Linked DNA regions of Arabidopsis thaliana. The protein of the gene in region 1 interacts with the protein of each later gene in a pairwise test. Each region holds a gene or a part of one and is shown in the gene's direction. Other genes may lie near its edges.

Region 1 (6,220 bases):
AGTGGGATTGAGATTGGTCGCACTATAAAAAAGTTTCCCTTGTTGACTCCAAGGGAGTATGTATTAGCGTGGAAATTGTGGGAGGGGAAGGATAAGTTTTACTGTTTCATCAAGGTAATGATGCACTTATCTTAAGGGCATTATTTTTAATGCTATTATTTCTAAATTACATTATTCATTTGCACCTATGCATTCCTCTTTAAATTTGCTAAGTATTTCTCGTATATGCTAGATACACAGACCTGGACCATGTTATATATTATCTGTTATTCGCTTTGCCTCTTTACTTATTGTTTTGCTCTTTGGTTATTATCAGGAATGTGATCACAATATGGTGCCGCAACAGAGGAAGTATGTACGTGTAAGTTATTTCAGATCTGGTTGGCGAATTAGGAAAGGCAAGTGTTTCTTGTCAGGGTTATCATCCATATTTCAACTAAATCTTCTCTTGATATCTCATCAGTAACATATACCACAAATCTCTGTAATATGTATGAGTGGTGAATAAGGTTTTTCATTCCTCCATACTGTCTATGCATAACTTAAACTTGCTGCAGTTCCTGGTAGGAACGCTTGTGAGATACACATGGTTCACCAGGAGGATGCTGGATTAAATGTTGAGATGGCAAAGCTTGCTTTCTCAAGAGGCATATGGAGTTACGTTTGTAAGATGGAAAATGCACTTCGCAAGTACATTGCAACCAGTCATCGACCCCAAGGGCCCACATTATCTGCTGTAAGCTTAATGAAAAAGGTGAGATGTTAGTGTTTTTTTTTACCTGCTCTGAGTTCAGTTCTCTGGTCAAGTGCTGGATAGATTGTTCCCTGCAAATATCTGTTTGTGAAATCTCAATGAATATGCCTTGTTTGACCCACCCTTGTCTTATCCCACAGATTCCATCGGAGTTAGAAAGTCAGACAGACGACATTACAAACTCCTCGGGAACTACCACTAGTGGTATGCACACAGGTGAAGGAGCCAAACGGAAGAAACTGTTGAGAAAGCCTTCAAAGAAACTGATAGCAAATGGTATGTTACTTGTGGGCGGTGCCGTTGGTGGTGCAATCTGCCTGTCTCGTGGTCACTCCGCCTTAGGGGCAAAGGTCGCGTTGGCTTACTTCTTGTCGAAGATGAGAAAGCGTGGAGCTCAACTGAGTCAAACTTCCCAAAACGCTGGTATTTAAGTCATGCATAGATTTGGTTTTGATGAAGCATGTGCAACTTACTTAGATTAAGCTTGTGTGATAGGGAGTGTCTGTAAAAGTGATTAAACGTGTGAATAGAAAAGTTCTATTTCTGCAATGTCTCTGATCACATGAGCTCTGGGGTCTTCAAAGTTTTGTATACGTGTCGTGGAAGACTTTATATTTGTGTTAATGTGAATGTAAAAACTTGTATTTTACAGTCAAGCCCTTGTTTTTCTCACCAAATTTCAGACCAATTGAATGAAATTGTTGTAATTTTTGTTTGTTCACACACACGTGTGCTTGAAATTGAATATACGTTGAAACAAACTTGTTTATGTGTGTGTTTTGCAGTTGGATCGGGACTTGGACACAGTTGTGGTCTCTCTCCTAATGTTTCGGTGTCTGCTTCATTTTTAGCTGTACATTTCTCTATTCACACGTCCAGATTTATTCGCCTTTTCACTCAATAACGTCATTCAAAAATCCTAAAAGAAAACAGAAGAAACTGAATTTGCCATTTTTGGTTACTGCCACACCATTTCCAATTTAGTTTTCTTTCATGACCTATCTAGCTTCTTTGTTTCCTCTCCTTTGGTTTTCGTGTGTTTCCTTCATCCCCAAGGAAACCCGGAACCAGCCCTGGGTTTCTCTCTGGATCATCTCTTTTGTTATTTTACAGATTTTGATTTTTGAGCTTAAAACTGTCGGATCATGGGACCAAATCTGCAGCGGATCGTACTTGTCTTCATTGCATGTTTCGGAATCTTCACCTCCGTTGTTCTTGCAAAAACCGATAGCCAAGACGGTGAGTGTTCTTATTGAATCATTTAAAAACGTTGTGATCCGATCTTGAAATCAGAGAGGTGGTTGTAAAATTTCATATTTAGTTCATGAACGTTATTCCTGCCTGATCATATTTATGGATTCTTGTAGTATCTGCTCTTAATGACGCTTATAAGAGCATGAACTCTCCATCAAAACTCAAAGGCTGGTCTTCAAGCGGAGGCGATCCTTGTGGCGATTCGTGGGATGGCATTACTTGCAAAGGCTCTTCTGTTACTGAAATGTTTGTTACTTCCTCTCTGGTCTTGATCAATGGTTTGATACTCTTCACCGATTCTGATTTTCTTGTTTTCTCGTTTTCTGTTTCTGTAGAAAAGTATCTGGACGTGGACTCAGTGGATCTTTAGGTTACCAGCTTGGAAACTTGAAATCGCTCACTTACCTGTGAGAATGTTTTTACCCTCGATACATCTCCTTAATCTCTACTTCTTGATCAAATTCAGTTAATTGATGATATCAGCTACATGTTCTGTTTTGTCATTGTAACAGTGATGTAAGCAAGAACAATCTTAACGGAAACTTACCCTACCAGCTTCCTGACAAGCTTACTTATCTGTAAGTATCTTCGAATTACAAAGCCATAATATATGATGTTCATTAGTACACAATTTCAATGTGTTGGTATTGCAGAGATGGCTCTGAGAATGACTTCAACGGTAATGTGCCATATTCGGTGTCTCTCATGAACGACCTCAGTTACCTGTAAGCCAAAGACATTTAATTTGACTCATTCGCATAATCTTTTCCCACGTATCACCCCGCCCTTTTAGTCATACCTGTTCTTGTATTTACTCAGAAACCTTGGCCGTAACAACCTCAATGGTGAACTCAGTGACATGTTTCAAAAGCTTCCAAAACTTGAAACAATGTAAGCCACATACTTCTTTTTTTGCAGCAGATTTGGAAAGATTTCATTAACTTCATTGAGTATATGTTTTGCAGTGATCTTTCTTCCAATCAACTCACGGGAAAACTACCGCAGAGTTTTGCCAATCTAACAGGTCTTAAAACACTGTAAGAGAAGAAAGCACTTCGAAGTAGTTGTTCAAATTTAACTCCTTTGTACTGTTACTCACCTTACCATTCTAATTATAGGCATTTGCAAGAAAACCAATTCAAAGGCTCTATAAATGCTCTCAGGGACCTCCCTCAGATTGATGATGTGTTAGTATTTTTCATGCTATATACATAACACATCGTTTAAATCCTTGAAATATGAACTTTCTTTCATTAATGTTGTTTATGAATCTTGCGTTGACAGAAACGTAGCAAACAATCAATTTACTGGTTGGATCCCAAACGAGTTGAAGAATATTGGAAACCTTGAGTAAGTTTTATTATCTCTCTCATTCTCCCTTAAACACAATCAAAAGATGCAAAAGCATTAATGTGTTTTTCTTCATTTCTTGGTTAGAACTGGAGGAAACAAGTGGTCAAGCGGTAGAGCTCCTTCACCACCTCCGGGAACCCGTCACATAGACAGAAACTCATCAGGAGGCGGTGGAGGAAGCAGCAAGGCTCTGACACTAGGAGTTATAATAGCGGTGTCTTCTATAGGTGGACTCATTTTATTTGCAGGGTTGATTGCATTGATTTCTCGAAGAAAGAACTCTAATGATTCTTCTCACTTTTTCGACGACGAGAAAGGAACCAACCGAAGCAAGCCACTCTTCACACCACAATCCTCTCAGATGCTTCAATTCGATAATATGGAAGAATTCAAAAACCAGAAGACAGTTGATTCTAATACTTCACTTGAAACAAAGCCTTCTGTTAAAAGAACTTCTTCTGTCAGTTTCAAGAACTCTCCTACTTTTCATCTCATACCTTCTACCCAAGTGGCTGCTACCCCTGACCGTTCCTCCACCTCCCAAGACTCTCCTGATACACGCGGTGTGAAAGCGTTTTCACTAGCGGATTTGCAGAATACCGCGTCTTGTTTCTCGCCGAATCGCCTTCTTGGTGAAGGAACCATTGGACGTGTTTATAAAGCTAAATTTCAGGATGGAAGGGTTTGTTTTCCTTGTTACATTCCACATTTTCTTCTCAAGAAAACTTTCTTTAGATCTCTTATCTTGTTATCCTCTTCTTACCAGAAATTTGCAGTCAAAGAGATTGATTCTTCTCTGTTAGGAAAAGGCAATCCGGAAGAGTTTTCACACATAGTGTCGAGTATCTCGAGTATTCACCACAAGAATATGGCAGAACTCGTGGGTTATTGTTCAGAACAAGGAAGAAATATGCTTGTTTATGAGTATTTCACAAGTGGATCACTTCACAGATTTCTTCACCTGTCTGATGATTTCAGCAAACCATTGACGTGGAACACCAGAATCCGAATCGCTCTCGGAACTGCTAAAGCTATAGAGTAATTATCTAAACCATTTGTTTGAGGAGAATCATCGAACTAGCTACTTGCTGCTCTTCTTTATTTTCATTTTTTATCTTGTGACAAGAAACTCTCTTTTGTCAGGTACCTTCATGAAACATGTTCGCCTCCGCTAGTTCACAAGAACATCAAGTCATCAAACATTTTACTTGATAATGAGCTAAATCCCCGCCTCTCAGACTATGGCTTGGCAAACTTTCACCACGTGAGCTTCTTGTAAAAATTAGTGTTATGGAGATACAGAGTTGTTTCAAATCTATTAAAGTGTCTCATCTCTTGAAACTGTAGCGCACAAGTCAGAATCTTGGAGTTGGATACAATGCCCCAGAATGCACAGATCCCTCCGCTTACACACAAAAGAGCGACGTGTACAGCTTTGGTGTGGTGATGCTTGAGCTGCTAACTGGTCGAAAGCCTTATGACAGGTTCCATTCTCAAACAGTAGTAATGTCCGATATAATATCTATAAAGAACTATACAAGTATCTGAAATGTTTTTTGAATGCCTCTAATCTTCAGTGGGAGGCCAAAAGCAGAACAGTCTTTAGTTCGTTGGGCAAAGCCGCAGCTTAAAGACATGGATACTCTGGATGAAATGGTGGATCCCGCGTTGTGCGGACTCTACGCTCCAGAATCTGTATCATCATTCGCGGATATAGTTTCCATCTGCGTAATGGTACGCTCATTGTTGATTCTCTATTGTGTTATTATGTTCTTCAGAGCTTCTAAGTTCAAGGTTTGTGAGAATGGATTGTTATTTCTTGTTTTCAGACGGAGCCTGGACTTAGGCCTCCAGTGTCAAATGTGGTGGAGGCATTGAAGAGGCTAGTGTAGTCTAGTGCCTCAAGTCATTTTGAAGCCCCCAAAGTATTAAAAGAAGAAGAATAACTCTTCTGGAGATTGCGGCTAAAACCTGAGAAACTTCTGATTAAAATCAAGTAGGAAACTCAAAAGCTATTGGATTCAGGTTTGTATAGAGAGATATATAGGTGGAGGAAAGGAGAGACAGAGATTCTATTATTTGGGTTTTTGTTTCAGATCATGTCTTAACCTTTAGATTAATCTTTTACACAATGAGAAAAGTTGAAAAAAGCTACTAGTGTCATAGAATAACCCTCTCTTGTAATCCACTGTCTACAAACATAAATCAAACTGCAAAATAAAATCCAAAAGTCTCATCTGTGTAAGAATATTAACAATTAGACCAGTAAGCTCTGTTTTCGGAAACAGAGTCGTCTGTGCATAAACAGAAATCGACAAATTAAATGTAGACTTGCGTACGAATTTCATATTTCTCCTGATGATGTTTTTTTTCTTTCTTGTATAGGATTTTACCTAACACGAATTTCTTAATTTATCCATCCTGATTATTACATTAAATCTAAAGAAGAAAGCTTCTTGTATTTGTGAGCTTACTTCTTTCCTTTTCAAAGAAGAATTGAAAAATGCAGCATAAAGAAAAAAGGAACTGTATCTCAGTGTCATTGTTGTTTCTTGCTATTATCAGCCAGTACATGTTCATCTAAGACAGCATTCTCGGATTGGTCTTCTTCGTTGGACAAGTTCCCATCATCTTCTTCGCTGCTCCATTTCCTTACAAATTTGGGAACCATGCTTTTTACATCACTTGCCTCCGACACTTGATCCATATCGTTCACTCTCTCAAACCGGACAGCACTAACTTTTCTTGCATTCCCTGCTAGTATCTACAAACCGAAAAAGACCTCGATTAGTTCAAAACATTGACGGTGCTTTGTGCCAAATATGAAAATGAGCCACTCAATACCTCTACTCTATAGAT
Region 2 (4,719 bases), on another chromosome or scaffold:
GGTATTTAGCTTACACTTATATAGACATGATAACTATACAGTACATGGCATTTCACTGGATTTGGGAAATTTACTGTTAAATCATATTAATGGTTTGCTCTATTACGTGAGTTTTACCTTCTGAATATTATAGTTGGAGACAAAACTTTAATGCTTTTAAAAGTATAATTGGGAAAATCTTTTTTCTTGCAAAATTAAAACATTTTATTTGGCAGGTGGCAACAAGTTTATTGTCAATTAGCTTCAGGATGTGTGATAACAAAAAAACTTCAAATGTAGCCTTGCCATAAGCTTCACCGCTTATGGTTTTCGTTGATGATTTAATCCTCGAATGTCTATGCTTTCATGTTTTTTACAAAAATTTCTCGGACCAATTAAATCCTAAACTTTCATTTTTTGAAATGATATTTACAGTTCTTATATTCAAAAAAAAAATCAACTATGTGACCAGTGGAAGAAACATTATTCATGTGTTATTTGAATGTCTTTCAATATAAAGTTGGGTAATTTGTTTTGATGCAAGTAGTAGTAAAGTTTATTTTTTATTTTTTTATTATGTGGTTAATCTGGAAGTATGGAACCAAAAAAAAAAAAAAATAAGGAGGTCATCTGAAACCATCGGAGTTTGGTTGATAAAACTTTTCTAAAAAAAACTGTATTTTTTATAGTTTATTATGACATTACGAACATATTTTAATTTTAATTTTTTGCTGTTTGGCTCCAATTGGGCTTATAAAATCTGGTATTTACGAAAAAGGAAATCTAATTATCTTATCATCAGTAAGCTTACATATTAATAAATCTTAAACAGAAAAGAATTTGGTGTACTTGTCAATTTACAATGTGTCGTATACCTTATAAGTTTATAGAGATAGTGAAAGTATGTTTTAAATTATAATTTTGCTTCTTTTTGGGGGAAATATTAATTCAATTGTTCGGTACAAAGGCAACTTTGCTTTCATTTGATGAAATGATTGGGTTTTATCCATTTCTTTAATTTTTGTTAAAATGATTACACTGAACTCGTAATTAACAACGTGAGCAAAACAACAATTTTTAATTCGATTAGTGCTACATATATAGTCGATAAATATAATAAGAAAAGTTGACGACAAACTCAGTTATGGACCGGGGTGGGTAGCTTATTAGTGAAGCTGTTGTGTTATAAACTTATAGTACTGTTTTAAATTTAGAAGAGTATTTGTATGAGATTTAGTTGTATAAGAAAAGAAAAAACTAATTTTCATATTATTAATTTAATTTTATGTCTTTAATTACCATTATTTAGTCGTGACTTAAATAAATCTAACATATTGAGAAATTAATTATAATTTTTTGACACCACTAAACTTTACTGAGTAGTGGTGTTAGTTTTATATTTCCTAGTATTTAGTTGTATTTTTTTTTTTGTAGTTTGACATACCCGTATATCATTTACCTAATAGTTAATATCTTTAGAAATATATACTATTAGCATGCCCCCGCATAGTTTATAACAAATATATAGTTAATAACTTAATACATATAGAAACATCATTCATATGTGGTATATACATCATCACAGTTACATATAAATATATATATATATATATATATTACTAATCCCTTCCACCGAGAAAAACAGTATATTCTATACCTACAATTTCAAAAAACAAATGTTTCATATAACTTTACTTAATAGTTTTTTTTTTTTTTCTGTTAAAGAACTTTACTTAGTAGTTCTATAATTTGTTTCATAGTTAAAAAAGAATTCAATACCTACTCGTTCTTTAAATATTTTCATTGTTTTTTGTTGTTTTAGAAAGAAATGGGCTCCAACTCAACATCCATGTTATTTATAAATATATCCACCTCTAGTCTTAATATTTCACTACTCAAACAAGTTTCTGAAGAAGAGACAGAGAGAGAAGGATAGAGTAAAAGCTAAGAGAGAGAGCGAGACTGAGAGAGAAAGAAAGAGATATCATTTTGGTTATTAAGTAATTAACTTATACTAATCATGGGTTTTATCGATGGAAAGTGGGCACCAATGATAGTCTTAATTGTTTCTAACATGATTGCGGGAATGGTTAATGCTTTAGTTAAGAAAGTTCTTGATGGAGGCATCAATCATATGGTTATTGCTACTTATCGTTTGGGTATATCTACTCTTTTCCTTCTTCCAGTCGCTTATTTTTGGGAACGGTACGTTTACTACTTCTTCTTTGATTTTTATTTTCGTAGCTTTCAGATTTTTATACATTTCGTTATGCCTTAATAAAATAATAAAATATTTAAAAGTTTGTGGCAGTGTTTTTAAAAAAATTGAATTTTGGTTACTATGTTGTGAAAATACAAGAAGACACAAATATCACGTTTGATGCTTCATCTCTATCTTTTTTTTTCTGGCTAATTACTTTATTTAATTTATTTTATTTCATAAGATAAAAGAATATTAACTTGAAAACAATAAAGAGTATATACTAGAGAGTTTCATGAATGTTTTTCTATGTACGGATATAGAATCAGAATTGTGTGTGCCTAACAAAATAAATATTCGATTTCATGATTTGTTCAGGAAAACAAGACCAAAGCTAACTCTAAGCATCTCATGTCAGCTTTTCGTCAGTGCCCTTTTTGGGTAAGTTTCGGTTTTAATCCACTAAATCCTTATGTTTTTCTATTCTCTCCCTCTTTATTGCTTTTTTTGTATGTTTATGTAAGATGTTATTTTTTTTTGTTTTTGATAAAATGAAATATAATCGTTTATCATAAATCTTTCTTTTTCAGGGCGAGCTTGATGCAATATTTCTACTTGCTTGGACTGTCCTACACGTCTGCAACGCTGGGATCTGCTTTCTGGGCCATAATGCCTTCCCTCACTTTCGTTATGGCTTTAATATTTGGGTACAATTATTGTTAAAATAAAGAAAAGTGCCATATACGCTATCATCTCAAGTGTAATCTTACACCTTTTTATTTTGAAAAAATAAAATTTGCAGGTTCGAAAAGCTAAGTTTGAAAACAAAAATAGGATACGGTGTCGTTCTTGGAACTTTGATAAGCTTAGTAGGAGGTTTACTTCTTACTATGTATCAAGGGATTCCATTAACAAACTCTCCAGAACAAGCAGCAAATTCAAATAACCACACAGGACATGAGAATTGGATCAAAGGTTGTTTCTTTTTATTGACCGGAGTTGTTCTTTTCAGTTCTTGGATGCTTATACAAGCCAAGATCAACGTGAAATACCCTTGTCCATACTCGAGTACCGTTATTTTGTCGGTCTTTGGTACGCTTCAATGCGCCCTTCTTAGTTTAATTAAGACTAGACATTTGGAAGATTGGATCCTTAGAGATGAGCTTACCATCATCACCGTCGTTATAGCGGTATATAAGACAATGTTTCGTCAGACATATAAATAATTTGGATCCACACAATAATCAGATATTGATCTATTGTTAATATATGTTTATAGGGAGTGGTTGCACAAGGTATGTGTACGGTGGGCATGTCGTGGTGTATCAAACAACAAGGACCTGTCGTTTCCTCATCATTTAGTCCTGTCGTGCTTATGTCTGCAACCGTGTTCGATTTCTTGATTCTTCATCGTGAGATTTATTTGGGAAGGTATATTATTAAAAATCTAACTGTATTAACTTTATATTTTAACTATATAAACCTCTTGAATATATTATATCATGTGCATGTTATGGACTAAACTTTTATTATTGTTGTAGCGTTATTGGATCTGTGGTGGTTGTGATCGGTTTATATATATTTCTATGGAGTAGGAGTAAGCAAATAGTAGAGTGTAAGATCATGAAGTTGCCTACCAATACGGTGGAAGAAGAAAAGGAAGAGGAAGGCCGTACAAATGTTAACAACGGTCAACTTTTGGTTATTCCGATGACTCCTTGATCTACTTCCCTAAACACGCTTGTTCAACAAGAATCATGACCGATATGTCTTCAAAAAATGAAATATGAAGAAGAGAAGATAACGATCGTTTTCATTGTTTATTGGACTATTTCATACTTTTATTGGACAATTTCGTACTTGTGTTGCAACGTTTAGTTTTTTTGGGGATTTTAATTCCTACGGGATTCATTTGGATACTGTAATTTGTTTATGTGAATAAACAGTGTCGAAAAACAGAAATAAACAGTATCGAATATAACCTTAATTGACAGAACAAATTATTCAATCTGCATCTTTTTACGTAAAAAATAAATAACGTAAAATAATAATAGTTGAAAAACTAAAGTTTACAATAGATTCTTGTGAGCTTTCAATACCTTTATTTGGTTTCTTTTACTCAATACCTAAGTTTCAACATAATTCGATTCTCGATTTCTCGTGGATGGTGTGACATACTTTGACGTCCTTATTGATGAGAGTCATATTAGTAAACGGTCGATTACGTACTCCGAATTTATGGAAATTATTTCAATGTTCTTTCTTTTTTTTATCAAATTATTTCAATGTTTTTGTTCTGTAAATATGACTATTATTGCAAATGTTAACAAACACGAATAGTTATTTATTTCCTAAAAGGCGAGTACAGGGTATGTTGGGCTACTATGACATCTTCGTACTTTATTTTTTTCATGTTTTATATACTTTATTAAATATTTCTTTTTTGTTTATAAATCATTACCCACCAGAAAAAGAAATCGCTATTGCTTTGCTTTTTCTTTACAATACTGCTGAGGAGATGGCACACGAAAGGAGTGAAA

What was found. The genes of interacting proteins can lie anywhere in the genome.
Region 2: the proteins of SRF4 (region 1) and UMAMIT30 interact in a protein complementation assay, tested with the Arabidopsis thaliana proteins (one large-scale study listed by BioGRID).

What each region holds. Positions count from the first base shown.
Region 1 is NC_003074.8:4,185,611-4,191,830, forward strand, and holds SRF4 (STRUBBELIG-receptor family 4), read left to right. Parts: upstream 1-1,760; 5' UTR 1,761-1,899; coding exon 1,900-1,993; intron 1,994-2,121; coding exon 2,122-2,254; intron 2,255-2,343; coding exon 2,344-2,415; intron 2,416-2,520; coding exon 2,521-2,586; intron 2,587-2,661; coding exon 2,662-2,733; intron 2,734-2,827; coding exon 2,828-2,899; intron 2,900-2,973; coding exon 2,974-3,045; intron 3,046-3,126; coding exon 3,127-3,195; intron 3,196-3,292; coding exon 3,293-3,358; intron 3,359-3,445; coding exon 3,446-4,043; intron 4,044-4,127; coding exon 4,128-4,399; intron 4,400-4,504; coding exon 4,505-4,625; intron 4,626-4,708; coding exon 4,709-4,845; intron 4,846-4,938; coding exon 4,939-5,095; intron 5,096-5,190; coding exon 5,191-5,253; 3' UTR 5,254-5,688; downstream 5,689-6,220. Other genes in the region: AT3G13062 (Polyketide cyclase/dehydrase and lipid transport superfamily protein), read left to right, coding at 1-114, 317-398, 558-754, 895-1,177, 1,540-1,658; AT3G13070 (CBS domain-containing protein / transporter associated domain-containing protein), read right to left, coding at 5,901-6,125, 6,206-6,220.
Region 2 is NC_003075.7:606,587-611,305, forward strand, and holds UMAMIT30 (nodulin MtN21 /EamA-like transporter family protein), read left to right. Parts: upstream 1-1,686; 5' UTR 1,687-1,999; coding exon 2,000-2,184; intron 2,185-2,557; coding exon 2,558-2,620; intron 2,621-2,769; coding exon 2,770-2,886; intron 2,887-2,981; coding exon 2,982-3,369; coding exon of another isoform or gene 3,370-3,405; exon of another isoform or gene 3,406-3,458; coding exon 3,459-3,610; intron 3,611-3,720; coding exon 3,721-3,901; 3' UTR 3,902-4,179; downstream 4,180-4,719.